Linked DNA regions of Tamandua tetradactyla. The protein of the gene in region 2 interacts with the protein of the main gene of each other region in a biochemical or structural test. Links are inferred from orthologs where the notes say so. Each region holds a gene or a part of one and is shown on either strand. Other genes may lie near its edges. The genes, in order: HCLS1, CASP3, granzyme B-like and PANX1.

The links.
Region 1: of the proteins of CASP3 (region 2) and HCLS1, one has a biochemical effect on the other in vitro, tested with the Homo sapiens proteins (2 studies listed by BioGRID). The link is inferred for Tamandua tetradactyla from reciprocal best matches to the Homo sapiens genes CASP3 and HCLS1.
Region 3: of the proteins of CASP3 (region 2) and granzyme B-like, one has a biochemical effect on the other in vitro, tested with the Homo sapiens proteins (2 studies listed by BioGRID). The link is inferred for Tamandua tetradactyla from reciprocal best matches to the Homo sapiens genes CASP3 and GZMB.
Region 4: of the proteins of CASP3 (region 2) and PANX1, one has a biochemical effect on the other in vitro, tested with the Homo sapiens proteins (2 studies listed by IntAct). The link is inferred for Tamandua tetradactyla from reciprocal best matches to the Homo sapiens genes CASP3 and PANX1.

The regions. Positions count from the first base shown.
Region 1 is NC_135336.1:24,106,540-24,113,838, forward strand, and holds the start of HCLS1 (hematopoietic lineage cell-specific protein), read left to right. Parts: upstream 1-4,287; 5' UTR 4,288-4,562; intron 4,563-6,531; coding exon 6,532-6,615; intron 6,616-7,144; coding exon 7,145-7,218; intron 7,219-7,299. Other genes in the region: GOLGB1 (golgin subfamily B member 1), read left to right, coding at 652-754, 1,074-1,208. UniProt on the Homo sapiens protein: Substrate of the antigen receptor-coupled tyrosine kinase. Plays a role in antigen receptor signaling for both clonal expansion and deletion in lymphoid cells. May also be involved in the regulation of gene expression.
Region 2 is NC_135352.1:27,971,114-27,978,491, forward strand, and holds the start of CASP3 (caspase-3), read left to right. Parts: upstream 1-4,365; 5' UTR 4,366-4,525; intron 4,526-5,077; exon of another isoform or gene 5,078-5,972; intron 5,973-7,354; exon of another isoform or gene 7,355-7,374; 5' UTR 7,375-7,378. UniProt on the Homo sapiens protein: Thiol protease that acts as a major effector caspase involved in the execution phase of apoptosis. Following cleavage and activation by initiator caspases (CASP8, CASP9 and/or CASP10), mediates execution of apoptosis by catalyzing cleavage of many proteins.
Region 3 is NC_135340.1:29,963,591-29,971,091, forward strand, and holds the start of granzyme B-like, read left to right. Parts: upstream 1-4,485; 5' UTR 4,486-4,710; coding exon 4,711-4,765; intron 4,766-6,391; coding exon 6,392-6,539; intron 6,540-7,035; coding exon 7,036-7,171; intron 7,172-7,381; coding exon 7,382-7,501. UniProt on the Homo sapiens protein: Abundant protease in the cytosolic granules of cytotoxic T-cells and NK-cells which activates caspase-independent pyroptosis when delivered into the target cell through the immunological synapse. It cleaves after Asp.
Region 4 is NC_135334.1:48,832,213-48,840,050, forward strand, and holds the start of PANX1 (pannexin-1), read right to left. Parts: upstream 3,016-7,838; 5' UTR 2,575-3,015; coding exon 2,394-2,574; intron 1-2,393. Other genes in the region: ferroxidase HEPHL1, read right to left, coding at 7,626-7,828. UniProt on the Homo sapiens protein: Ion channel involved in a variety of physiological functions such as blood pressure regulation, apoptotic cell clearance and oogenesis.

The DNA.
Region 1 (7,299 bases), on a different chromosome or scaffold from region 2:
TTCATTTCCTTTGATATACTTGCTATTTTTGTAAGAAACCATTGAGTAGGTAAAGGCAGCTAGTTAAAAGGAGGAAGTTCTAGAATAAATAAGCAAATCAGCAAAAAAAAAAAAAAAAAAGAAGAGAATCTGAACTGCCGATTCAGTCTAGTTCTAAAAACCATAGAAATCTTTTTTGAGTGCTTTTGTCTATTAGCCTTTAAATATTTTTTTTAAAAATGTTTTTTAACGAGCTTCTCTGAATCAGATATGGTGTAGTGGGAGGTGGGGGAGGAAGCATGAGGTTTAGAGACCCCTGGATTTTGAATCCAGGCTCCTCTCTGCCTCTTAACTGGCTATATCACCATGGTCGAGTAATTTAACCCCTTTAAGCCTTACTTTGAGAGTAATATATCAACATCAAACCTTGAGAATGAAATACATGTAAAGCACCCAACCCACAACATCTGATACTTAGTAGGCTGACTATTCATGATACTTACTTTTTACTGCTATTGAACAAAACCAGTCTGCCTTACACTCCTTGCATGAGGACAGGTGCTGAGATAACAGCCTTACTTGTGATGCTACTGTGCTACGTGGGAAGACTTCTGAGCTGCCTCCCATGCTTATGAACTAATGCCAAGCATCTTTTTTTTTTTTTCTACACAGGTTAGAACACAGTGAATGGGACTCTGCCCGGACTCCTATCATTGGCTCCTGTGGCACCCAGGAGCAGGTGTTAATAGATCTTACAAGCTATAGTTGTCAAAGGGTAAGAAAGGAAGAAGGATAAAAAGAGGGGTTCTATGCTACCAAATGGGGCTAGTTGTATTGAGGGCAAGGAATCAAGGAAAGAAAATATGGAAGTCCAGCCAGTAAGCAGCTAATGGCTATGTGAGTAGAAGAGTATGAAAGGTTGGGAGAAACTAAAAGAGTTTGTCAAACCCTCAACCCTGAGGGGCCTTTCACCCAGGATATCTCTTTTCTGCAGTGGTTAAATCAGTGTTGCTTAGATGCGAGATTGATGGGGAAAGGGTAATAGACACACCCCTATATGTTGAAGTGCTCTAACGTCTATATTTTTCTTTCAGACCCGGAGTGGTGCTGGATGGAAGCGGATTTTGCGTTCACTCTGTCATTCCCGGACCCGGGTGCCACTGCTAGCAGCCATCTACTTTCTGATGGTTCATGTCCTACTCATTCTGTGTTTCACAGGCCATCTGTAAATTTACTTGTCCCCTTTTGAACTGTTCCCCAAGGAACTTGGGATTCCTCTTGTCCTTCATGTCAAAAGCATCAGTTCAAATGGAACAGTCTTCCCACATACAGATCATCTCTCCAATTCACCACAGAAAGTGGCTGCGAAACAGTGGTGGATATGGGCTCAAGTTGGAGTTACAGGGACCAGCAAGTCTCCTCTCTTCTACTTAGGCCTGAATATATCTGCAAATCTGAAGAGGCTTCACAGTTGGTTTTTGAGCCCAATATTTAGATTTTACAGGGCTCTGATCATCTTTTGTGGTCCTGTAAAAAGATGTTGAGGGGTGTCTTTCACCTAGGAGGATAGTTCCAATAAACCTAATAATCTGAAGTCCAGTAACATTTTGATTTATAGTTTCCTTGTTTCATTTACCTTTATATTTTCTCCTGCTTCATGGGGAAGGTGGTGCTGCCATAATAAAAATTATGGGGAATGAACACATCACCTCATAGGACATCATGCACAATGGAGTGAGAGCTGAAGAACTCCCCAGGGACTTAGTTTTCAGCTACTTGGTCCCAGAAGAGGACAGTCTCACCTTCCCTGGCTGTTCAGAGATAAATGGGGATTTGCATTTCTGGGTTAATAAAGATGGATCACATTTGCCTAAGACCCTGATCTCATGTATTCAAAGGGATAAGTGATTCCTGCCTTTAAGGAAGAAGAACTGGCAGCAATCAGTGTGTTCAGGTTCTTGACCTTCCTCTATTATCAGGATATGCCTCCATTGTGGGCCCTGAGATGGTGCCTAGCAGCCAGCAAGAGCCAGTCCTAGGCGAAGCATTGACTCCAAGCCTGGGAAGTCTTTACAAGTCTAGCCTGGGACCACACTGGACTCACTCTTATCTAACCTCTTGAAATACTAAACAACTTTGCTGTTGGTGATGGTTATTCCACTTTCTCAGCCCCATGATCATGTGCTCTCTGTGGTAATAGAAGGCTGAGACAAAACAAGAGAGGATATAGGGAAGATGAAATATTTAAATCTAGGTCTGAGAATGACAGCCAGGATTAAATTCCATTTGTGCCTCCTTTCTGCCCTACCACCACTACCACCATACTCATTAATTATTTCCTTATTGTTCACATGGTGTGTTTCCTGCCTGCTTCACAACCCAAAGAAGAGAGAAGACTGGTGGACTGATCTGCTGTAATTCTTTGTTCTCTGGTGACCAAATCTTGGTCATAGCATCCAATAAACTCTCCTGAACAGCTGTAAGATAATAAAGTTATTTTCAGAATGAAGACTTCTGGTTATATGTGCATGTTTGTGAGTTGTACATCTACATGAGTGCTTACATATGTGTTTTTGCATGCTGGGGAGCGGAAAGTAAGGTAGGAGGCATGAGATGAAGTAGCTAGAAATGGAAAGAGGTAGAAAGCTCTGCCTACTCAGTCTTCCTTTTCACTGGCCAGTATCAGCAATGGTTGCATGCTATCCTTTCAGCCTTAGCCACTAGAGCCCAGGGTGCTGAGGTGGAGTGAGCAAATCCCATCTAATACCAACCAAACAAGTTGGGCCTTCATGCAGCAGAAGAGCAAAATATACCTAAAGGTGGTCCTGGAAGAATTCTTGTCTGGTACATGTTGAAGGCATTTGACTGCTAGGTATCTGTCTGCGTGGGAGCAGGGAGAAGGGAAGTTTAACAGCATGGAGTCGGTTGGATGGACATTATTTTTCAGTTCTGCTTGAGAAAAACTAAGTTAATTCCTCCAAGTCCATTAATAAATGGCTCAATTGAGCCAAGTCTGTAGCTTCAAAGCCCATTTCTATGTGTTATTTCTCACTCCCTCTCATCAGGAATGAACTTGGATTGGGACATTTGCTAAAGAGAGATGGAGTTTCTTACTGTTATCTGTGATAATTCCAGGGTTTTTCTAGAAGGTGGTAAGTCACAATATCTGGTCTGGTAATTCCTAATTTGGGCACTGAGGTAAGACTCCAAATGATCTGAAAGATGTTTTTTCTGTCTACAGATTTGCTCTTTAAATAACTTTGATGTTGCTATGATAAATAGGTCATGAAGTAGGAGCGATCAATAAATGGAACTCCCTCTGGGCAGAGAATTCTTAGATTTGGAAGTGACCTGAGAAGTTTCCTATTCCTGACTCGGGTATCCCTTCTGTACCTGGGCCCATTTCATTCAGTCTCTGCTTGAACCCTCTGGGGAGCTCAGGACTGTGAGCAGTCAGGTCAAAACTCCACAGCCAGTGAAGATTAGTGGAGGCCAGGTGAGGTACAGTAACAAACACCCCACATTCTCAGTAGTGAAACAACAAACGGTTATTTTTTAAAGGCTTGTAAGTTCCTCACAGGAAGGATGGTATTCTGCTCATGTTGTCATTCTATCTTGGGGACCCAGGATGCCAGAGGACCACTGGAGAAATGTGGGGTACCTTGGTGGGGCCATGAGGGAAAGAGCATGGCAAAACTCGCTGTGATCTTAAAATCTGCACCAGAAAGTGATACATTCACTTCTCACATTTCATTGACCCAAACAATTCTGGTCAGGCCTAAGGAGAGAGAGGAGCAGCAAACCTTGATGAACGGTAATACAGAAGTCTACAAAGACCTTCCATCTGGTACCACTTGGTTCTTTCAGATTTCTTCCTACTATTTGGAACGGAATCTTTGTACCAGTTAGCTCAGACTCTTCACTGTTCCCCAAACAAGTTATGAGCCTTTCTTCCTTCATACCTTGCCTTGTGTCTTGCCTTTCTCTAAAGAGTTATTCCCTCCTGCCATTTAACTGATTACATCAATTTTATTTAAAAGGCCCTAGATGCAAACCCCAGTTTTAAGTGCTGTGGAAAAGGTAGAAATGTAGCTTCTTTTTAAATCTTACTCTTCAACATCCACCTATTATTTTTCCCATTAAGCCTTTCTTAATTACTACTCCCATACTAAATTCTGTGAATTACTTTAACATGCAACTGCCCACAGAATTTAGGTCACAAATGCTGTCCTATCTCATTCATTTATGGGTTTTCTGGTTGAATGTTTTGATTCTCTGACTAGATTATAAACACAGGATAAGAACAGCATTTTCTGTCACTTCCCTATGACCCTCAAAGCTTGCAAAAGAGTAGGCACAGAGACGTAACATTAACCCCTTTTTTTATTTAAGTCCCTGAGCACAAGGAACTGACTCAAACTTCAGGAAGTAGCTGTGAGGACAGTGTGGCAGGAAATGACAGCAAACCTGAATACGGAACTGAAGCAGCAGCTCCGACTTTCTTGCTCTGAAGTGCCAGCAGCTAGAGAGGGAGCGTGGAATCACCCTGAGGAGCTGAGATCTGAGTGCAGACACACTTGAAGGTGGGTGCTCTGAACAGTGGGGGGAAGTTAGGAAGCACAGAACAAGAGTTGAAGTAGGTGGAGCTTACTTGGGTCTTTCCCCTCTGGGGAGTTATAAGGTTACTGCTATTAAATATTTAAACTTTTATGGCCAGAATGTGTGTTGGTTGTAGAAATCGGCATCTGGGGATGAAAACAGAAGGGAGGGTCAGGACTCCAGGGAGCATGATCCAGCAGCCATCCAGAACACCAGACCATGTGAAGTGCTGCCTGGTTTCTACTGACATACTACAGCCCCCTCTAAGGCCTACCATTCCTAGGCACTGAGTTGAGAAGAAAACCCCAGAAGGAGATGAAGACAAAGCCTTGAAGGGCATATGATCTAACCAGAGAGGCGAAACCCACATAGGAAATGTTCTAATTGAGCAGGAAGTACTCGCTAAAGTACACTTGTGCTGAGAACCAAGTGCTGATGGGAGGCCAAGTGAAGACGTGATAGATAGCTGGGGTTAGTTTCTGTGATTGTAGGATTGAAGATTCCCAGAATGTCAGAACTGGAGGGGACTTTGTAGATTAGCTGGAATAATGCTTCATTTATTTTCCAGTGGGGGATTCTCAGTGATTTTCTCCATTTATTTAAGTTGGTGTTTACAAATTGCCTAACGTGGTGACATCTAAGTTGCTTCCCTGTGCTCATGTTCTCATCAAGGACTTAGTAAAAGAGCTGGGTGAACCCTGGGTCTTCAAACTCTCAGGCCTTGCACTTTACTGATGCTGCAAGGCAGCCTTGTGATGAGGCCCTTGATTGCCTGTAATAACTGGGCCATCCATTCCCCACCACATCCCTCTCTAGTCTCCCATCTCTCAATAGCACCTCTTGGCTTCCCTTTATCTGGTCAGGAGGGAATTGTTTCTCTGTCAGAAACTCTTCCTACTATTTCAAGAAAGGGGGAAGATGAGAGAGTCAACTGAGATACTGGACTAAGAGCAGGATAAAGGGTGGGGCCACTGGTCCTCAATGCTTCCTTATTGTACACGAATATTTAGAAACTTCTCTTTTCCAGTTTTCTGTGTTAAGCTGTTAGTTGCAGTGCAGCCCGGGAGTCAGGGCTTAAGAAACGTGGGTTGTAGGTGGTGGAATTATGAGTCTTGTCCATCGGTCCTCATCGTAAGTGACTTCCTGGGCAGGGAAGGCAGAGCTGCTCTCTGACATATCCTACGGCCAAGTTGCCTCATCAATGAATCACTTTTCCCATTCCACCCCAAGTTCCCTTTGCATAGAGTTTCCAAGGGGTTGTGCAAAGAACAGGGAGAAAGGTGGAGTTTACAAACAGAAATGGAACATTTGAAAGAAGAATCTGAGGGTCTAGGTGCAGAAAAAGGAAAGCCCTAGGTGTGGTTGTAAAAAAGACAATAAGGAGCATGGGGGAGGCCTCCAGTGGGAAGAGAGTGCTGAGCTGGGAAGGACAGGCAGGAAGATTTCCAGCTAGCAAGTGGTGCTGGGCCCACCTGAGTCTGGAGAGAACTTATCATAGATGTAGATAATGCTAAAAATCTGAATGTCAAAATTGCTGGTATAGTTCAACTGTGCCTAAATCTGAATGTCAAAATTGCTGGTATAGTTCACCTGTGCTTGGAGTATATCTATGAGACATGCAAATATACCCTTAGAATTATACTGCCATTTCATTCAGGTTTCTACATATGACTCTTCTCACAATTGTTGAAATAACATTGATCCAGTTCCTGACAAAGTAAGCAACATCTACACTCCTCTCTCCAACCGTTCACTCAGTTTCTCTCAGATAACCCCCTCCACTCCTCCTCTGACTGTGCAGGGGTGCTTTTCTACAACTCTGGTCTACCTCAGTTTTCTATCTCAAGAGAATATGGCGAGAAAAATTAGGTCTCCCTTGTCACTGATTTCAGCATACTTTTCTACTCTTGATACTTTTTATCCCTAACTATTCGCATCATCTGTCACCCTCAGATGTGGAAGTCTGTAGTGGGGCATGATGTATCTGTTTCCATGGAGACCCAGGGTGATGATTGGGACACAGACCCTGACTTTGTGGTGAGTTTAGAAGTAGCTTTGCTTGGACAATGAAGAGGGTGGTGGTGGGACATCTGAGCAAGGATGTTCTGGGACTGAGACTGCTCTTATAGTGAGAATGACTGGTAGCATACGTGGGTCATGCATAGTAGCTGGTGATGAGGATGGTAGGAGACAGGTGGGGAGGTGTTTGACAGTTTTATTTTCAGACTATGGCAAATTATGCTAAAGGTGAGAAATAGGCCAAAATGGGTCTCCTTTGGCATACAATCTAGGATTTGAGGGCAAATGTATAATTTGGGGGGATTAAGAAATTATATGAAAGAAGGAGGGGAATATTTGAGGGATGCAGAAGGAAGGGAGGTTTCTCAATTTACTAGTTTAATTTCCACATGGGGTCAGGGCGATGTACACTGAAAAAGGAGTCTGAATTTAGGCACCGGCTGAGGAGACAGCTGATGCAGTGGACAGGGAGGACTTGCCAGTCTTGTGGCTTCTCCTAGTTAGCACATCTCTTCTCATCACTTATTGCCAAGGGCTGTCTTTGCAGAATGACATCTCTGAGAAGGAGCAACGATGGGGAGCCAAGACCATCGAGGGCTCTGGACGCACAGAGCACATCAAGTAGGTGCCAAGAGGACTGAGGCTAAGGAAGAGGTTGTGGGAGAACCCAGGGGGGTGTTGGATGCTTGGCAAGCCAGGAAG
Region 2 (7,378 bases):
GAAAAATCAATAATCAAATTTATTTGGAAGGGCAATTTAAAAACATCTTGAAAAAGAAAAATGAAGTCGGATGTCTCACACTTCCTGATTTTAAAGCATATAACAAAGCAACAGTTGACAAAGAAGCATGGTACTGGCATATAGATATATCAACCAACAGAACCAAACTGACAGTTTAGAAACAGATCCTATCAACTACAGCCAACTGGTGTTGACAAGGCGGCCAAGTCTACTCAACTGGACTGAAGAGGCTCTTCAACAAACAGAGCTCGGAGAAATGGATATCCTTATCCAAAAGAAAGAAAAAGGAACCCTATCTGACACCTTATACAAAAATTAATTCAAAATGTATCTAAGTCATAACATCAAAGCTAGGGCCATAAAACTCCTGGAAGAAAATGTAGGGAAACGCTTTAATGATCTTGTGGTAGCTGGTGGTTTCTCAGACCTTATTCCCAAAGCACAAGCAATAAAAGAAGAAATTATAAAAGGACCTCCTCAAAATTGAACGCTTTCAGGCATCAGAAGACTTTATGAAAAACATGATGAAATGTTCAGAAAACCACATATCCGATAAGATTTTAATATCCAGAATACATAAAGAAATCCTACAACTCAATAGCAAAAAGACAAACAACCCAATTTTGAAAATGGGCAAAAGACATGGATAGACACTTTTCCAAAGAGGCATATAAATGGCTTAGGTGATGCTTTTCCAGTACTTGTACTTATTGAGTTGATAAATATTGTCTTGTATTTTAGTATAAAACTTTAAGGCAACACCAAACTCACCACAAAGCATATTATTTCCTGGAAGCAAAAACAGAACCACCCCAGACGACTGAGAGAGTGTAGTAATAGTATGTGTTTTTTTTTTTTTTAATTTTTAAAAAAGGCATATTATTTCTTTTAATTTCCTGACTGCAAAAACAAATACCATAACATGGGTTGCATTAAACAATAGGAATTTATTGGTTTACAGTCTGATGGAGGAGAAGTCCAAAACTGAGGTGTCAGCAAAGCCGTGCTTTCTCCCCAGACTGGTATTCTGAGGCTGGCTAACAGCAATCTTGGCCCTTGGCTTTTCCGTCACATAGCAATGTACATGGCAGCATCTTCTCCTTTCTCTTCCAAGTTCCACTGACTTACAGCTTCTGTCTGCTCCCCAGGACTTTTCTGTTCAATTTTCCTTGCTTATCAAAGATTTCAGCCACACAGAATTTAGGCTCATGCTGGTTCAGTTTAAGCACTCCCTAACTAACAGCACCTTCAATTACAAATGGGTTCACACTCAAAGGACCAGCACTTGGGTCCTGATGAAGCCTTTTGGAAGAGACATGACTCAGTTCCCAACATTATTCATAGATTTCAAGTTCAATTTCAACCATAACAGATCTAAGAATGATTATCCTCTAAGAATCACATGAAAACTATAAACCAAGGAAGAAAAATACAATTCCGAATGTATCATTACAAATTTTATAATAAATATCCCTGGAAAAGGAATATAATCTCAGAGGATTGAGGAAATGAAGCAATTAAAAAAAAACGCTTTTTTTTTTTATGCAAAGTGATATGGTTCCTTATTGCTAGATTGAATCTGAGTGTTCTGGTTACTTTTAATCTGCTTCACATAAAGATAAAAGTCCCCCAAATCTCATTGAGATTAATATACATCATTTTCCTTACACGTATTAACATTTAGCAAAGTCCACTGATAACATAATGAGGAAAATGAATACGAAGTAAGTCAGACCTGAATTATAATTACTATCTTACCAATGACTAAGAGTAACCATATGTAAGTTCACACTTAGGACACTGAAATCATCTCAGGACCTTGTCAAAATCTTGACATGATCATGGATTGTGTCACACATAAAAATTATGGAGTCACAACAGAAAATCAGTGTTGGTATCACTAGAATAGGGAAACCACGAGCTTTGAAAGAAGAAAAAGAAAATTTCAATATATATCATGTCCCCATGTTATGTTGCACAGCTGAAAAATTTAACAGCTGAAGCGAGGGTTGGAAGACAATGAGGCTTGAGCTATTGAGCAGGGAGGGCTGAGTTAAAAAAAAAAAAAAGAGGAAATGAGAGCAGGAAAGCATCTGACATTCTGGTTTTAGACTATAATATTCCTCATCCTTAGGTTTATGCCCAGACTTGTCCAGCTATGAAATCTGATGGCTTGTTTCCAGACAAATAGACTACGGGGTGCAATCTTCATGATCACTGACTTCTAAGGAGATCTGAAGCCAGCTTTTTTCATCTTCTTATCTCATCACTGGTTAATTCTTGTTCCCAATTACAATGTCTCCCTCTGACCTGAAATTAGATTCGTTAATATTTTGTATTTTCTAGTGTTATATGTTCTATTCTACTATTTATTATGCTCTGCTATTTGTCAAAAATTTTTTTTTTAATGTTAAGCCTTTACTGGTCTCCTGGAATGCACTGATACTATTTCTCCAACTACTGGTAAAGTTTTCATGGTAAAGTATATGATTAAAACTCATTTGCAGTAAAAAAAAAAAAAATCATTTTACAAGTTTACCTTCTGGATGAATATTAAGAAATTAAATAATTTACTAATTGTCTTTTTTTTTCTTCCATTTTAGTCACTTTGCCTGTCTATGCTTGAACACAAACCCATATTTCAATCCCCCAAAATCTACCATAAGGGATAAGAAACAAACAGCAATATATTGTTCTTTTCCAGTTTTTCGAATCTACTCACCCTCCGGATCTCCCATACAATCAGCATGACTGAAGCAGACTAATCATCTTTAAAAACACTTTCATAACTTTTCAGAGCAGCACTCATGTTTCACTGCATCACTCAAATTCACAGTATAATTTACCTCAAGGAATAGAAACTCCCCTCTGTAATCTGGCCCTAAATCACTTACTTATTTTATTTCTCTCTGCTCAGCCTTCTCACCAAATAAAGAATGACTACTCCTTATTCCTGGCTCAATCCAAGAGCCTTTTTGCAAATGTTATTCTCGCATGTAATGTCCCAGGTTGCCTTTTCCCGAATCTTCCACCTCAAGGCGCACATCAAGTTCTGCCACCGGTAAAGATAAATTACCCGGATCAGTCAGAAGCATACCTCCTAGACTAAAAAAATTAGCATAACTTACAGGAAAACAGAAAACTGCTTCCGGTAAGTAATCGTGTTGGTAAATTCAGACAGGGGCTTGGGTAACACAAATGGATGGGGTAAAGTGGACTTTTTTACCCATCCTGGTTGAGAGTGGGTCCTATTTCTCAGGTTTTTGGTTTGTTTATTTTTTTTACAGCGGAAAAAGGAATGCAAAACACTTATTCCCTCTTTGCTTGGGAAAGATAAAAAAAAAAAAGGCCTCCGTTTTATTCCTGGGATCTGAGATTAATTCCTGCGACTGAGCTATTAGCAAATGCAAGCAATTTAATCTCTTTAAACTTTAGTGGTGGCTAGAATTCCTACCTGGAGGGGTTGTTGAAAGAATAAAATAGGAAAATGTATTATGAAAAGATAAGAGCAAGAAATAAGCACTCAACAAATGGTAGCAATATATATAACCATGAATATTTATGTACAGAATACAGCCCCTTCCTTACACCGAAGAAACAAAAGTGTTGGGAGTAACCTAATACTTAACAAGCGGTCCTGACTTGGCGTCGTTATGTCATGAACTGCTTAAAATTTTGTGCAGAATTTCTTGCCCATGTGTGCTAGTATATTCTTCTAGAAAAGCTATTCATAATCAGCATTAAGGTGTGAAATGAGTTCCTGTCCCAAAACAGCGCGGGAACCAGGACGGCAGCCAAGGCTTTTGATTTAGGGTCATGGAATTGCCGTAAAGGAAAGGGAAAAAGATTACCAGTGCGGGTCCCGGCCTGCTCCCCTTCTTCCCACAGGTCAGACTGGGCGTCAGGCCGGCCTCGGCTCCCTTCTCTCCGTCCCCGGCCCGGGCAAGGCCTGTCTCTCTCAATTCACTCCAAAACCCCGGGCTTGGGATGGAAGCCCCCCGGCGGCGGACTGAACCAGCCACGCTGGCGGAACCGCGGCTTCAAATTAGGCGCGGGGGCGGGGCCGCGGCGCGGGCGCGGCGGGGTGGGGTGGGAAGGACCCGAGGCTGCCCGGCGGAGAAGGAAGGAGGCGGGCGGCACGTGCCGCGGCGGGACATGCGGGGCGTGCGTAGGCCTGACGGGGGCGGGCTCCCGGATGGAGACCGACGGAGTTCGCGGGCGTGCCGGGGGCGGGGCGTACGGGACTGGAGGAGGCGGACTTCCGGGAGGCGAGGGGCGGTGGGCGTGGGCGTGCCGGGGGCGGGGCGTGCGGAGCTGGAGGGACGTGTCGGCCGCAGGGGAGAGGTGTAACGGGCTGGGGGCGGGGCAAGGCGTCCTGGCGCGGGGTGAGACGGGGGCGAGCCCTGTTCGCTAGCTCACCTCTTCCCGCTGCGGCGCGCAGAGCTCCACTAGCACCGAGCGGAGCGGAGCAGGGTGTGCGGGAGCGGCCTTTGACGACTGTGCGGTGAGTGTCGCCCTCGCCCTTTCAGTCGCCGCGGCGCCCTCAGCCCTGGGCCCGCTCCCCTCTTACCTCCCTAGCCCAGCGCCGGCCCCGGGGCCCTGCCCGAGGCCACAGCTGCTCGGACTAGGCGGAGCTGGTAGGCACGCGCCTGGCTGCATCTCTTTTGTTTTGCCGCGACGGTGGGTGCGGGGATGAGCGCTGAAGCCCTGGGAGCTACAGGCCGAGGAGCGGGAGGCCGGGCCGGAAGCCCGGAGCTGGGCAGTAGGATGCTGATTAGTGACCGCGGCCGAGACTGCACCCTTGTGTGGTGGATCGCGGAGCGGAGGACTGACCCCGGGAAACGGTGCCCCGAGGGTGTGTGGCTGGCCCGGTGCTAACCGAGGAGAGCTGGCCCTGGGCCTGATTCTCTGGCTCCTTTGTGGTTTTTTTTTTTTTTTTAACAGGGGCTTGGTCTCTACTGCCCTGTGTATCTGGACCCTAGATTTTTAACTGTTAACTCTGTGGTTTAGCTTTTCCAGAGAAGTTATTTCGAGCATGATACTCAAATTCCTTTTAAGATATGATGGTTTTCTGCTCCTTCTTAGAATCTGTGAGCAAAGTCACTTAGGAGCTGCTCTGAAATCCCCTCAAGACATAAATTGAATAGGGTTACCATTTCACACTAGACACTCTTTATTCAATAAGCCCTTTCACAAGCTTTGCTTCCCAAGCTGCCTCTTTCCTCATTCTCAGTAAACGGATTCCCAGACAGTTATTCAGACATCCTCTTTCTGTTGCTCCTTCCTGCCCACGCCATCCCTTTCCCGATCAGCCCATTTCTCTCCATCTCTGATTTTGGCCACCCTAGACTCATCTGACTACAGCAGCCACCTAACTTATCTCCCACACTTCAGACCCATCATCCACCTCTTTGGCCCATTCTTTACAGCACCGACAGCTTTATGAAATGAAAATCTAGAAAGTCATGCCTGTATACCTTTGCCCTTAGGGTAAAGCCAATCCCTTTAACATCGTTAACAAAGCCAAGCGTTAGTTGGCCCCTGCCTTGTCTTTTACAATTGCCAGGTTTCACTTTCTGCACAGCTGTGTTAACCTCCATACCTGTTCTCTGCCTGGGCACTCTGGCATTCCCTTCCTTCCGACCCCTCACTTTTGCTTGGAGAACTCCTGCTTATCCTTCTATAATTAAATACTTCAAGGTTAGGTCTTCCTAATCTGTGTTTCTCTCACATCCAACATTTCCCTTATAACTTGTGTTATACCCTTTGCAGGTACTTGGTTCACTATCTTCCCTGCTAGATTGTAAGCCAAGTCCATGTGGACAGGGACCATGCTAACTTATCTTGGAGTTCCTTATTGTTTTTCTGTGCAGAGCCTGGCATTAATGTCTGGATGTCCTTCCATTTGTCTTGTTACTGCAGTATTATGCTTCATAATAATTATGCCCGACCTATGAAAAAAATAATCTGTTTTGGGATTACATAGGAAATTAAAGTTAAAAGAGGTGACTTAAGAAAGGGAAGTAAAATTTGGAGTCCCCGTAACAGTATGAATATACAAGATAGCGGTAGGAGATACACAGCAAGGTGCTTAGACCAGTCTGTGTCAAAATGTGCTTAGCCACTTTGAATGTGCTAGTGGTGACATGATCTCTAAGAATAAAATGTAAAATTTAAACCACCTCTGTCACAGCCTGGTGCTTGAGCTTTGGTTTTGCTCTGCTCTTTTGCCAAAGAAGGCTTTTGAAAGTGAGAATGTGTGGTAATGAATATAAACACTTCACTGGAGTGGCAGTAAACCCTGTTCAAGGTAAAAGCAATGAAACATTGTACCTAATTAAATCAAATTTCCTTTTACTATCCTGAAATAAAGCCTTGCCTCCTGCTATTTTAGGATACTGAATTCTCTTTTGACTTAGGCAATTACCATGTTCTTTACTCTTTTGCTTTCAAACCTAATTTGACACAATCTCTTACTGCTTCATCCCCTTTCTGATGCTATAGGCAACCTTTATTTTCATGAATGACATTTTTATTGATTCTGGTGCCCAGTATTAGGTAGTTTTTTAAGCTCTATCTTAAATGGGAATCACTAGTGTTTGGGCCTGAAAAAAGATACAGTAATTCTTAGACTCTTAGCTATGTTCTTAGAATGGTTTGTACACATTTAAATAAAAATGTAATGGAAGAAAAAACATACTCTATCAGACAACCTGAGACTAAGTCCTAATCACAACAATTTACTAACTCATCCATAAATTGGGTATGAAATACATACCTCACAGAGTCATGAGGATCTATGAGATAGTACCAGTAAATGTAAAACTATGTAATGTTAGTTATTTCTCTGCATATTTTTTTCTTGCCTTCAAATAATGCTCTATAAGAATATAAGCTTATAGAGTTTCTGAATTAGGGTAGAGTAAGATAAAATTATCTGATGTGGACTGTCTGACATCTGCCTTGTTGAGCTACTTTCAAATACTCCGTGACCATTGATATCAGCCCACATGGGGCCAGGGACTTTGTTTCATCCATGACTTCATATACTCAGAGTTTGATATAATGCTCTGTACACAGTAGGTGTTCAATAAATTATTATGGTGCAAATGTAAAATGAATAAATGCTACCGACTTTGACTTTGGGCAGTTTTGAGCTCTTTTTGGCATGCAGGACATTTTTAATCTGATGGTTATAAACCTGAATCCCAATTCACCAGGGCAGTGATTCTCAATAGGGAAAAGGGAACATTACAGGTTACTAGTGTATCTTTTACAAAAAGATCCTTCAATGTATATTTGTTTTATACAAAGTATACAGAGCTGCACTTACCTGTTTCTTTGTTCCTCCAGAAAG
Region 3 (7,501 bases), on a different chromosome or scaffold from region 2:
GAGCAAGAGTTGACACCAAGCCCTGGAGTTCCCCAGCTTAAAGGGGGCGGAATTTGCCCCCTCCAGGCATAGGGCAAGAAAGGTTTCCTGGAGCTGTGCTCCATTGGCCCAATCACTCCACCCTTAACTGGTCACTGCAGGCTTCAGATCCCGCCTAAATCCACAAACTACTTTGCAATATCTTTCTTGGGTTCCCATCTTTACAGAGACTAAATCAGGCCGCCCAGCCACAACTTTCCAGTTCGAAGCAATTTGTGACCCTTGTGATCCTAAAACAATTACCTAAGGCAATGTGTCCATCAGCCCCCACTGAAGGGTAGCTGGGCAAGAAATAAAAGAATGGTGACAAGATGATTAAATGGGCACACCATTCAAAAGAGGAGACCTTGGAACTGTGCAGGGGGGAAGACTCGCCTCCGGTCCTGGGCCACCAGCCCCCTGTGCTGGACCCTGGGAACCTCATTTGTGGCTGAACCAATGAGTGACACACATGAGTTATTTAATTGTGTTTAAAAGCCATTGTCAGTGAGAGAGAGAGAGAGAGAGAGAGAGAGAGAGAGAGAGAAACCATCTGTGCTAGTTTGAAAGGAAGCATGTCCCCTAAGAAAAGCCATGTTTTAATATAAATCCCATTTCATAAATGTAGAATAATCCCTACTCAATACTGTATATTTGAAACTGTAATGAGATCATCTCCCTGGTTGATGTGACTTAGTCAAGAATGGTTGTTAAACTGGATTAGGGGATGACGTGTCTCCACCCATTTGAGTGTGTCTTGATTAGTTTCTGAAGTCCTATAAAAGAGGATATATTTTGGAGAATGAGAGATTCAGAGAGAGCAACACTACGAAGCAGAGAGTCCACCAGCCAGCAACCTTTGGAGATGAAGAAGGAAGATGCCTCCTGGGGAGCTTCATGAAACCGGAAGCCAAGAGAGAAAGCTAGCAGATGATGCCATGTTCACCATGTGCCCTTCCAGCTGAGAGAGAAGCCCTGACTGTGTCCGCCATGTGCCTTCTCACTTGAGAGAGAATCCCTGAACTTCATCGGCCTTCTTGAACCAAGGTATCTTTCCCTGGATGGATGCCTTTGATTCTACATTTCTACAGACTTGTTTTAATTGGGACATTTTCTTGGCCTTAGAACTGTAAACTAGCAACTCATTAAATTCCCCTCTTAAAAGGGACATTTTCTCAGCCTTAGAACTGTAAACTAGCAACTTATTAAATTACTCCTTTTAAAAGCCATTCCGTTTTGGTGTATTGCATTCCAGCAGCTAGCAAACTAGAACACCATCACTACCAAGGAATATCACAGACCTAAAGGAACAGTCCCTCTAACAATAAAAAAAGGCAAAGAAAAGAAGCATATTGCAAAAATCATGTTTTTGTTGTTGTCACTTTTCTTTCAGAGAGCATCATACAAGTCTCCCCTCCATATTAGAGACTGTGAGAGCAGAGAAGACAGCAGTGAGACACTTACTTAGGGAGCGCGTCTTTGGGGACGTCAGGGAGCGGGAGCCGAGGACCATGCCACTAGGCAGTTTGGTAGCTCGGTGGGCTGGACAGAAGAGGCAGAGAGCCCCGGGGGAAAGCGTGGGGGTGGCATGGACTAGGGACATGCGTGTGGGTTAAGGACCCCTAAGCTTTGGAAATTTAAGATTTCCAAAACAATTTAGGCTCATGTTTCTTTTCATAAATCACCAGCATTTGACTGGAAATCGGGGTCCAGGCTGCTAGTAGTATAAAAGCCCATGGAAATGAGGAAATAGGATTGAACTGCAATTATATAATATGTAGCATTGTAAAAATAGCATTGTCAGAAATTCACATAGGGACAGTGCAACAGTGGCTCAGTGGCAGAATTCTCGCCCACCGTGCCGGAGACCCAGGTTCGATTCCAGAGCCTGCCCATGCAAAAAAGAAAAATTCACACAGGTTATGTCTCCTTAAAACAATACCCAAGTGAGAGAATATTACCAAGATGTATTTCTCTTTCCATGTCCTTGTGGCAAACACAAGTGGATAAATCACTCGATTTTAATGTTTTTATGATCTTGATAAACTATGATCCAGAAATTGCACTTCTGAAAAGTCAGCCTGTGATAGAACCAGAATATGAAAAGAAAAAAAACTTCTGTGCATAAAATTTTTATCACAATATTACTTCTAATTGTCCAAATTTAAAAACAACCTATAGTACATCCACACAATGAAAGATAATACAGTGGTTTGAAAGGATTTTTAGGAATTGGATAGAAAAAATTATCTAAGGACATGAATAAGGATGTAAGATAAACCAAAAATATATGACCGATAGACATGTATAGATACATTAAATACCTAAATTAAAGATAGATTCAAATTACAACATAAGAATGATTATAGTCCATGCAGCTGTGAGTATACAAAATGTTATGTTCATAACCCAATTTTATGAGCTTCCTGGAAAGCCATTTTTCAAAATAACCAAAAGGCCTAAATTTGCATACAAATTTCAATCCAGCAATCCCACTCCAATAATTTATCGTAGGAAAACTGGATATCCACACAAATTAAGTTGCTCATCAAAATATATTTATGCTAGCAAAAGTATTACAAGCAAACATGAGGTTCGGCAATGGATGGTGGATTAAGTAATTTATGCTTTCATTTTTAATTTCACATGTATAATAATGATAGCTACTATAATTCTCATGTCCTGACAGAAAAAATGTACAGCAAATTTTATTAAGTATAAAATGTTTCAGAGTATTATTTTTAGCATAATCCCCGTTTAATTTTAAAAATTCATAAATATTTACATTGGAGAAAAATGTGTTTGCTCATACATGAAAATATTAAAAATGTCTATCAATGAAGGACAAGAAATCAGGTAACTGTTTTCTCCTTGCTTAACTTATATTTTTAACTTTCCAATTTGAAAATTTTTATTATTTACTAATGTTAATTTTTAATTATTAGAAAAGAGAGGCTGCAGTGATAATAACTAATAGATTTTTAACAACATGAGGAAAACGCTTATGTTATAAGCTTAAGTGAGAATATAATATATCCTGAGTGATCACAAGTATTTAAAATACACTAATTATATCTGACATCTTTGTGTGAGATAGACTGATATTTTTTCTTTCTACTCTCCAAAGTTTTAATGAAAATATATTACCACTATAACCTAATTTATTAGATTATACTATTCCACAAGCTAAATTCTAAACGGTAGAGGTTTGATAAACATAGTTTGTTAATTCTTCGTGAGGAGGAGATTAAGGCTGTAATTATATATTTTGATACCTAAAATTCCTCATGTGAAATACAGAAAATATAAAGACGAAAAATTAAATCACCAGAATCCAGACCTCAGATATAGTCATTTCGTACTTCATTTCCCAGAATTGGGCTTGGTCTCTGTAGCCACACCAATCCTTACATTCAATCAACATAGTTTGATTAGCAAATGTTTACTGCGGGTATATTATGTGCAAGGCCTGCTAAATCAGAAGTGTGGCTCTCTGTACAGAAGACAGAAAATACTAAAAAGATCACTATTAGCCTTTGGGTGCCCAACATGCTTTCCCACTTCACATGGTATCAGCAATTTAGTAAACTCGAGAACCAGTTTTTCCCATTCTTTTTTTTTTTTTTTTAAAGAAAGACAGAGAAGGAAGGAAGGATAGAAGGAAGGAAGGGAGGAAGAAAGGGAAACATCTTTAAACATTTTCTTATTTTATTATATTTTGTTTGTTTGTTTGTTTTTTACATGGGCTAGGGCCGGGAATCGAACCGGGGTCCTCCGGCATGGCAGGCAAGCACTCTTGCCCGCTGAGCCACCGCGGCCCGCCCTTTTCCCATTCTTGATTCTTGTGTTGGGCGAAGCTGACCCAGCCTACCCATGGAAGGAATGACCTAGGCTTAAGCCAATTGGTGGAGTCAATTTCTTGGGCCATAGCAATTCATTAACTTAGGCCAATAAAAGTCAAATGCAGGACTTTGTTAAAAACATTACGGGAGATGTTCTCTTTAATTCTGCACATCTGCATGGTCAAGAATAAATGAAGGATGTTAAACATTTCCAGGGAAGGACACAGTGATGACAAGTGGGATGCTCCATGGCCATACTCTCCTTACTGCCATCGTCCCTCTGCCATGGCCCTCACCATAACCTGGTCACTAAGGTTTTTCTCTCCTCCATCATATGGTGGGCTCTCAAAGGAAGGGACATACGTCTTCAATAGGTTTGATCCTAGCACAGAGAAGGGCCTAAAGACACATCTGCTGAGGACATCTTCTTGATGGACTTGGTAGCACAGAGATGAAGACACTGATGGTTCCATCACTGGGGCTGTCACTCAGGTTTCTGAGACTCAGGACTTCTTCTGGGCCATGCCACATCCTATAGTCCCACCTTCTACCCTTGGGCCCCCAGCCTGAGCTGGAACAAGTAATCTGCTCTGAGTCATCAGCTATGGGGACGGACGTGGTGACTGCATGACTCTCACACAACCACCCAGAGAACGTCATCAGGCAGAGGTGGTGGGAGTGGGGTCAAGGGCAACTTTCATAGAAAGGCTTCGAAGGGTGAAGCCCCACAAAACCAGAGGAAAACAAGAGGTTTCTGAGCCTACCAACACTTTCTTCCTCTCCTGAGGGCTTAAAGACAGCAAGAAAGAGAAGTACCAGCCACTCCAATCCGGGCTACCTTCCTAACAAGATGCAGCCACTCCTGTTTCTGTTGGCCTTTCTCATGCTCCCTGGGGGAGAAGCAGGTAAGTGACTGTCCACACCCTCAGGGCCCCGACCTCATCCTATGGTGGGCACAGATCCCCTGCCCCTTGTGCACAGCTCTGATCCATCTACCTGCCAGGAATATTCTGAACCCCAGCTCCAGCCCCACCCAAGTCTGCCAAGGGTGATGCTGGACAGTCGACAAGAATGGCAGGGTAGAAAAGGCCACCCTCAAGAAGAGCCAGTGGGTGCTCTCCTTTACAGGAAAGTATAAAGGGACTCTCCTAGAGGTGCATGGCAGATAGTAGGAAACTGAGAGAGAGAAGAGGTTAAATGCCTCCTGGAGACACCAAATCACCTGCTTGGGAGTGGTTGAGATGGGAAATTGTAGGTCGATATATGTTTCCCTAATTTTTTACAAAAGGGAGAAGGGGACTATAGAGACAATGGCAATTCAATGCAGTTCATGAACTGAATATAATATTAGAGGAGAAAATGTTCAAAAGGACATTACTGGAACCACTGACAAATTGGAATACGAACTATATATCTTATATTAATGTTAAAGTTCTTGAACTTGATAACTGTACTTAATATGGTTACATAAATAACTATCCTTGTTGCTAAGAAATATGCATTGAAGTTTTACATGTTCAAGGAGGATAATGTATGCAATCTATTCTCAAATGTTTAGAAAATAGAGATAGATGGTAATTAGATATAAATAGAGAGAGAGAGAGAATGATACAACAAATGGGGCAAAACATTAAAATTTAGCAAATGTGAATATTTGGATGGGGGTATATTTGCGTCCTCTCTATCAGTTTCATAGTCTTTTTGCACCTGTGCTGTAAGTTTGAAATTATTTCAAAATTAAAAAAAAAAGTTTAAAAAGAGGTATCGTGGGCGTGGCTTCTATATCTGGGACGAGGCAGGCGCTCCCCTCACGCTTCTACTTAGGAGAGAATCCCAGACCTCAGCTGACCCCATAACTGTGGGATCATGGTCCCCACACTGTGGCTTTTGCCTCTGCTCCACCTCGATGCCCTGACCCACCCCACCCTCAGTCCATCGCTACAACTCTGCTTTTCTTGCCAGGCCATGGCAGCTCCCCTCTGGTCAAGGATGGGCTGCTGACTTTGGCAGACCCCAACTTCTCTGCTTTCCAGATTCCCACCAGCATTAGTCCTACAGCCCTCATCCAGAAGCTATCTGGAGGCCATTCCTTCGTGCAGCCAATGAACATTTCCTGGGCACCCACTATGTAAAAGGTTCTAGGAAATAGGACATGACAATATTCAGATCCCTAAATTTATGTCCTGCCCATTAGGAAGCAGCACTATCGGAGACAGCATAGGATTCGCAGGCATCTTGGAAACTCACTTCATCCCAACTCAGCTTCACTAGAAGCTCAGAAAGGACTTTTCAGGGGTCTCTGGGGCTTCTGTACCTAAGACAAGTACACTTGGCTTCAACTACGCGCAGAACATTTACAGAACAAGGGCTGTTGCTTTCCCCTTCTCAGAGGAGGACATTGGGGCCGCTCCCACCTCCCCACCACAGGCCATCCCAGGCTCCCAAATAACCAGCCCTTCTGGAGTCACCAACCAGGTGGGTACCTGGTGGAATCTGGGGGTACCCAGAAGCATAACAGATTTTTCCTTCAGGGAAGATCATCGGGGGACATGAGGCCAAAGCCCACTCTCGCCCCTATATGGCATTTATTCAGTTCTGGAAACAGGGGCATAAGAAAAGGTGTGGTGGCTTCCTGATACGAGAAGACTTCGTGCTGACAGCTGCTCACTGCTGGGGAAGGTGAGAGCAGCAAAGGGCCCACATCCACCTGGAAACACTCCGCAGGGACTCCCACCTTCTTCCCAAGGGGATTCCTGGGCTCTTAGTAACACAGGTACAGAGGAGCTCCTTGGAGAAAGAGGGCAGCTAACTTTCTGCAGAAAGGGGAAGGTCAGTACCAAAGGCATTGCTGAAGAAAGGCAGACTAGATTATCAACCCTATCTTATTTGGAGCTGGTGGCAGGCATTGGGATCTCAGTGCAAACTGAAACAACTTCCCATGTTTTTCTAGGGGTAACTGATCTCTGAGAACCCCTGGAGCAGTTCCCATGGGCTGCAGAATCCCACCTGGGCTACCAAAAAGCAGAGGGCATAGAAAGTTCAGCCCCAAGGTAGTCCTGTACCCTCAATTTCCCCTCAACTGCAGTCCTGCCCAGCCCCGGGCTGTCTCCTGTCCTTCAGGGTTCCTGGGCTCTATCTCCTGTCACTCATATCCTCCACTTTCTTCTCTGTGCAGCTCATTAAATGTCACCCTGGGAGCCCACAACATCAAGAAGCAGGAAAAGACCCAGCAGTTCATCCCTGTGAGAAGCGCCATCCGCCACCCAGCCTATAATCCTAAAACTATCACCAATGACATCATGTTACTGCACGTAAGACAAACCTCCCTGCTGGCTCTTGCTCTCCTCAGACCAGAGAATTTCTCCACCCACGGTGATCCCTGTACATTTTCTTTTTCCCACCCTGGCTGCCTGACTAGTTTTAGTGCCCACGAGTCTCAGAGGGAAGGCAGTGCAGCCTCCTTGGGGTTTCCAGCCTAGAAGGCTCCTGGCTGCCCTAGATTCTCTTCCTCTCCCTTCCAGCTGGAGAGAAAGGCCAAACGGTCTGCAGCCGTGCGCCCGCTCAGCCTGCCCAGGCTCAAGGCCCGGGTGAAGCCAGGGCAGGTGTGCAGTGTGGCCGGCTGGGGGCAGGTCGCGAGGGGT
Region 4 (7,838 bases), on a different chromosome or scaffold from region 2:
CCGAATGGCAATACCTGCTAGCCATATCCACTGGCATACTCATCCCTGTGACATGGTAAACTCCCATGGGCCAGGAGAGGACCACCTCTCAAAACTCCTTTTACATTTTTCTCAGGGCACAACAAAAGTACTAGGCTCAGCAAAAACTCAAATCCTTGCCAGGTAAACCCACTCCAAAGCTATACAAATACCTCGCAAACAACTCATCACCTGGGCTGTGCCTAAAGTACTATGGTGCAAGTGCCTTAGGATTCCCTCTAATTCATAAGCCAGAGGTAGAGCTGGTCACAGAGGGTGATCAACTTCTCCAGGACAGGGACCACGTGTCATGCGTTCACAGCTGGTACTCTAGGAGCATCTGCTAAAGGAAGAGACTATCTTTAGGACCCATGCTACTTGGTGGTTTTCCTATCTACTGGATGCCTCCACCCCTGGTCATCGGGAAGGCAAAAGGAAACTCTGATGACTATGCTTGCCCAAACGCAAAGGAAACTGAAAACTTATGCTCCACAATGAATTTGGTAACTTCCTGCCGAACTGAACAATGTGGGGTGAAGATCACAAAATCAAACACACTGACACCCTTTTCTAACCAACTCTTCCCTCAATTTTACTATTTCTATCAACAATGCCATTCTCCACCCATCCAGCCCTGCAGGCTTTGCAGCAACTCTGACCAGTATATGCCCTGTGTTCCCTATTAAAAACTAGTTAATGTACTAGTTTTATATTAGAACTATAATATATAGTTATATTATAATATAATATAATATATTACCACTATTATAAAGAGTTAATAATAGAGTGGTATATGGGGGAAAAATACCTATTGTAAACTGTGAACTATAGTTAACAGTAATGGCTCAATGTTCTTTCATCAATAATAACAAATGCACCACACTGATATTAAGGCTCAATAATGGAGAGCATGGGATGATTTATTTTGGAGTAATGAAAATGTACTAAAACCGATCACGGCTATAAATGCACAACGATGTGGTGATATCACGAAGCACTGATTGTACACTTTGGATGGATTTGTATGGTGTGTGAATGTATCTCAATAAAACTGCTTTTAAGAAAAAGTGGAGGTACAAACAAACAAAACACACACATATACAACAAACTAATGACCCGAGGCCTGCTTATTGCTCTTTGATCTCTCACAAATCATCCATTCCCATCCTCTCCCTTCTACTCTTCATCCCCATCCATGCACAAGACTTCAACTGATGCCTCACCTTCTGCCTCCAGTTCCCTAGCTCCATTCTCCGCCCTCCTTCCACACAGCCTACACCACCACCAGGCTATTATTTACTAAGTTTTGGCCAGTCCATCCTTTGCTCAGATAACTTCCCACGTCTTCAACCATGACTGCTATCCTCTGTTCTAATCTGACCCAGGCCCATATTCACTCTCAGATCTGAAAAATCCAAACAAGTCCTCCTGCCTCCAGGAGGGCAGTCACTGTCTCTCCCCTTCCAGGAACACATACTTTTCCCTGCGTGTTCAAAATTTGCTATCCAAATCCTATCTGTGCTCCAAGGCTCCAGGCCAGCCCAACGTCCAATAAAGAGCTTTGCCCTCCGGGTAGGTGCACTGGCCTCTACCTCTTTTACTCCACTACACTCTTTCCGTGGCTTCATAAACACTCTCCTGTGCTGAAAGAACAGATGAGGAAGAAAACCAGAAATTTATCAGTTACTTGATCCTGCCCAACCCACGAGCCTTTCATATCTCCCAGAATTGTTATTAGGATCAAATAAGAACTTATATAAAGGTGACTTGTTCATCTCACGTTCATAAAAACACCGTCCAGTCGGCGGATGTTGGTATCCCTCCGAGGCCTTGTCAAGCGCAGGTGTTGCCTATCAGTCCCAACTCTGCATGGCTGAGTCCCAGCAAATAGCAATTACTCGTAAAACAGCGAGAGAACACTCTTTACGTGGAGCACTTTTCTGTGCACACTCCATTTACTCCCACGGGAACTTCTTTGGCCCCAAATTTTATGTGACTGCACAAACGCGTGTGTGTGAAAAGAGAGAAGGCGGGTGTCCTCTGCTAATCCGATGGCAGGTGGAACAGGAACACTACAGTTGGGACAAAGCGGGCGCAGGAAACAAGAGCTGAGTAGTGGGGATGGAACGCAGGAGGCTGCAACGGCCGGGCACAGGGTCCACAGCACAGAGTTACAAATGAGGCCACGGGTAAAGAGTGCTTCTCGGACCGTAAAACCGGGGCTACCTTCCTTCTCAACGCGCACGCCACCGCAGCGGCCAGCAAGCCGAGATTCTGGCCGGCGCTCAGTAAAATCCCATCTTGCCAGTCTAAGACAGCCCTGATAAGGCGTGCCGGGCCTCCTCCGCCCCGCCTGCCCTCGCCCATGGCCTTACCTATGGAGATCTCCTGAGCGAAGGCCAGCGAGATGAGCAGCAGCGGGAGTCCCACGGCGATGCACGTGACCATCTTGTCCACCGCCAGCTCCAGCCGCAGACCCTTGAACTTGGACTCCGCGGGCTCCTTCAGCAAGAAGTCTGAGAACACATACTCGGTAGCCAGGTGGGCGATGGCCATGGTTGCGGCGCGCCGGGTTCAGTTCGGCAGGCCCACGAGCGTAGGCCCGCGCACCGCCGGCGTCGGGAGAGCGGAGCGGCGCCTTCACCGGGTCACCGGCGGGGCCCGCGGCTTTCGCTTTTCCTTTGCCGACTCTGCAGCTGCCCCATCCTGCCTGCCTTTGTGTCTCGGCGCGCCAGAACTCCCAGCTACCCGCGCTGGGGATGCAGCTGCCCCTGCTCGACTCGCTGGGTGCCGGGGCAGGCGCAACGCGCGCACCTTCCGGGCTCCGCGCCTCTCCCGAGTCCGCAGGCTCGAGAATCAACTGGGGCACAAAGCCCTGGCCACTCCGCTCCTCCCCAGCGGCCGGTGCAGCGTCCCGGCCGGCCGGTTCGCTCTCTCTGCCGCTTCGCCCCACTCTTCCGGAACCATCCGGAGAAACCGAGTACCCAGGGGCGTGGAGTTTCCGGAAACCGCGGTGACGCGGGTAGGGGTGGGCGCGCCAGCATCCAGCGTACGGATCCTCCCACTAAGGGGGGGATCTTCCCATTAAGCGGCCTTTCTGAAAATTTCTCCTGCCCTTCCCATCTTCAATCTTCCTACTTCCTGGCACCGGGATTATTGAAATCATTTCTGACAGCGACCTCTTATTTATTTAGACAGGATGGTCTCTTTACACCCTAGCCCTACCATTTCTATACCGTGAAATCACGTCAAATTGAGTTGCAAAAGCCTCAAAGAAGAAAGGATGCCTTAAAAGACGAATCAAACAGGGTAGAACGAGGGAGTGAGAAAAAGGGAGCGCTGGGCCCTCTGATGAGCTCTGCGCTTGAGAGGAAGGTGAGGAAGGTGCAAGGACACTGGGGAACGCTGCAATGACTAGGTATCAGGGCTCAACTAGCGCTGCTCTTGCCGGGTGCTTCCTGTGCCTCCCGGGTCAGAGCCTAGGCCCGGGAGCCAGCGGAGGGGTGTCTGCGTAGAAGGGGGTGAACCACTTATAGGAAATGGATGATGAGTAAATGCTGTAACAGCATTTGAAGCAGACAGGATCTTTCAACATGAGGGCTACTTAAGGCCAGCTGGGCTGCCTTCCCTTCTCTTTGTACTTGGGCTTTTCCATGTATGCAAGCATCCTCTGTATACTCTGGACTCCCACAGGTACATCTCCACCCCTGCTTCTCCTCCCATTACACACCCAGTGGCCTAAACTGCCCTCCACTTGAGTGAATTGTAGGACTTGAAAGTCCTATTGACCAGGACTGTAATTCTTATCTTCCTCTCGAACTGCAACTCTAGTCTTCTCCATCTTACTAAATGTACTATCATCCACCCACCCACCCCAGCCAGAAACGTGGAACCTGTCTTTAATGCTTCCCTTTCTCCCATTGCCATAACCAATTTACAAATTTTCTTCTCCTAAATATCACAAATCTGACAGCTCTCCATCTATACTCCCAACACCCCAGTTCAAGCTCCCATCCTCTCCTAATCACATAAACAAATGTTTCTTTCCCCAAAGCCTCTGGTGTTATTTTGCAAGGCTACTACAACAAACACCACACAATGACCTTAAACAACAAGATTTTATTGATTCACAGTTTCGAGGTTGGAATAAATCCAGAATTGAGGTATCAACAAGGTGATGCTTTCTCCCCAAGTCTGATATTCTGGTGCTGGCTCCCAGTGATCTCTGGGTTTCCTTGGGTTTTGTATCCCTGCCTGCAGTCACATGGCAATGTCCTTTCCTTTCTTTTCTGGGTTCCACTGATGTCTGGCTCCTCTCTCATTATGTCTGAATTTCTTCTGCTTATAAACGACTCCAGTAATCTGGATTAAGGCCCACCCACACTGGTGGGCCACACTTTCCCTAAAATAACATCTTCAAAGAGATCCTATTATAATAGGTTCACACCCACTGGAATGAGGATTAAAATTAACAACATGTCTAAATTGGGGTATGTGATTCTTATACCATACCTCCCAAGCCACTGTCACCCACAGGTACCAGGAGAGGCTTTTGAAAAGCTTTAATATGTTCATGTCACTCCCCTACTTAAAATGTACATTGTTGTTAGGGAAGCATCCAAATTTCTTAGTATGGCCAAAAAGATCTCCAAGATTTGGCCACTGTTTACTTCACCAGCTTCACTATGTCTCCTGCAGTTCACTGAGTTAGGCAGGCCCGTTTCCTCCTCCGTACCTTCCCTTGCCCAAAAAAGGGCTCTCTACAATGGCCTCTTTGCATGGCTGACCCTTATTCACTCTCCTAGTCTCAACTTGATGTCACTTCCCCAGGAAAGCCTTCCTTAACTGTTTTAGTTTGCTAAAACTGCTGGAATACAATATACTAGAAATGGGTTGGCTTCTTTTTTTTTTTTTTACATGGACAGGCACCAGGAATTGAACCCGGGTCCTCTGGCATGGCAGGCAAGCATTCTTGCCTGCTGAGCCACTGTGGCCTGCGCGAAATGGGTTGGCTTTTAAAATGGGGGTTTATTAAGTTACAATATATAGTTCTTAGGCCATGAAAATGTCTAACTCAAGTCATCAACAGGATGATACCTGGACTATGAAGACAGGCTGCCAGAATCTGTGACACCTCTGTCAAATGGATAGTGTGCTGGTTTGAAAGTAATGTTGTGCCAGTTCGAATCTGTTATGTACCCCAGAAAAGCCATGTTTTAATCCTGATCCAATCTTGCGGGGGAAGCTGTTTCTTTTCATCCTGATTCAGTACTGTAGGGTAGAAACTTTTGATTAGATTATCTCTACAGGGATGTGTCATGCTCAACTGTGGGTGTGACTTTTTGATTAGATGGAGATGTGACTCCACCCATTCAAAGTGGGTCTTGATTAGTTACTGGAGTCCTTTAAAAGGGGAGACATTTTGCTGAAAACACAGTTGCTTCAGAACCAACCGACACACAGACGTTGGAGATGCTTGGAGTGCTGTCAGAGAGAGCAGATGTCTAGAGATAGACTAATAATGTTTGAATTGTCATATTATTTGTGGAGATATACTATTATTTTATGGCATTTCCTCTAGCAAGTGTTACTGGGGTACTTGCTAAATATCTAAAAAATAATTGTCTTTTTACTAGCCCCCACCTTCCAGGTTTAGTGATAAGTAGTCTTGAGTGAAAGAAACCATACAAATAGCTGTCTGATAATATGGGAAAGTTTATTAAACAGAGAAAGGGTATAATCAACTGACTTTGTGGTTTTGTTTTCATTACAAAAAATAAACTAAATGAAAGGAAAAAGCTTATAACTGTAACTAAACAATTTATTGTGTTACTACAGGTAGGTTATAAAGAAGGCATTTGTCATAATTATTATGTAATTATGCAGTCGAAAACATGCATGAAAACTGTAAAGCACATACTACATTGCTAGTGGTTAACAGACTAGAATCTAAAATCCTTTAGGTGCCTTGTTAGATACAGCATTCAAGCAACCTATGGGCCCAACTATTAGCATTCACATACTGTTTTAAGTGACACTAAAGCTTTTATCAAATAACCTTTTCCCCTAAAGTATCTATCAAATACCCTTTTCCATCACCAAAATGAAGATGAGAAAGTATGAAAGACCCTTCACCAGTATATTTATTAGGTCCTACTTGTTCACCGGGACATTCAAATGACCCACTGCCAATGCAGATGTGTGAACATCCCACCCACCTGGCATGGCAGAGGATTTCTTGGCCTGAGCTAAGAGCAATTTCTCAGTCTAGTAATAAACAATGTTGCTTTTATCAATCTTATACCTAAGGTTAAGGCATGTAGAACAGAGTATGGTTTGCCTGGTAATAAATTAATAATTTATTTTTGCATTTGAGTCTTGAAAACTAATACTTATCTTTAAGATGATTTCATGGTTTAAAAAAATTGCTATTTGGGAAACTTCTTTTTCTAGATATCCCTCTTCTCTATGCCTTTCCGTTCCCTTTTTTTTCCTCCTCCAGTAAAGGGCCATGTTTTAAGAGGCATGAAATCTAGGATTTTGTGAGATCCTTTCTCCACCCAACCCAAACTCAGCTGCGTTGATGAATTCCTCTTGGTGTTTCTCATATAAGACTGTTTTTATTTCATAGAAGATGAAGATGTAGAAAGATCCCCCTAACTTAATGAAAAAATCGGATTCAAGATTCAAGCCTAGACACGTCTCCTGCAAAGTTACCCTCTCCCCTCAGATGCTCCCACTGAACTTTCAGGGAAGTCCTTGATTGAAAGTGAGAGAATCTAGCCTGCTATTTCACAGATTCCAATATTCCAGGATTCTGAAATATAAATAGAAATTCTTTAGTTGACTTTTGAAAATGCAAACATTGCCACAGAAACATTATATAAAAACATATAACATGAAGTGAGTTGTAAACATTTGAAGTATCATTACAGGGTTGCAGAAAAACAGCAGCAAGTTTAAGAAAATGCTTATAACTTTACCTTTTTTAGCAAACAGTGCACAGGCTATTTATAAATAAAAGGGGGAAAGGTCAGGAGAGCTGATTGAAGCTTCCAAAATATTCATTTAGTCAAATTCTATCAGCAAATCTTAACTTAGTTTTTTTTATGAGTTCCTCAGAAACTTATTTTCCCTGGAACAACTAAGGGCGGCTTCTTACATAACAGTGCTGAAAAATTAGTACTATTCTAGTTAGATATCTAAGTGCTTTAAGTCTTTTTAAAGTTGTCCATCTAGAAACTTTTACAGTTAGCTGAGGAAGCACTGCTCAATATATGAATTATGAAAAATGTAAAACAAAGATATCTTTCAGAGGATCTCCTCACTCAGTGAATTCATTCAGAGAACAGAGTTGGCATTTCTGAATCATGAAAATTCTCCTTTTTTTCTGCATTTCATACCTGAGGATTATTTATAGCTTATTTTAAAAAATATAAATAAAAGCAAATTGCTTTGGATTATGTTCCAGAGGATCAGAAGCCTGACCCAGCATATAGTGTCAACCTTCCTTGGTGAACATTGCCTGTTGGTCCAATTTCCCTGTTGGCAGCCATCTGTCCAGATGTGGAACCTCACACCTTCCTGCTTGAAGGAGACCAGATGATTCACAGAGCATCGGTGGGGAGTGCGCAAGACTGGACCTCCTGGTATGACATCTTCTTCCTTGCAGAGTGGAGTCTGAGAGAGAGAACAACTGTGGCTATCAGTAGGAGAAATCCGATGATAAAAAGGATAACCAAGGCCACCTTGGCTCCTCTGGGACCTAGAGTCTTGCCAAAGAAATAGAGCTTCTCCTTGCCAGGTTCTCCTATGAAAAG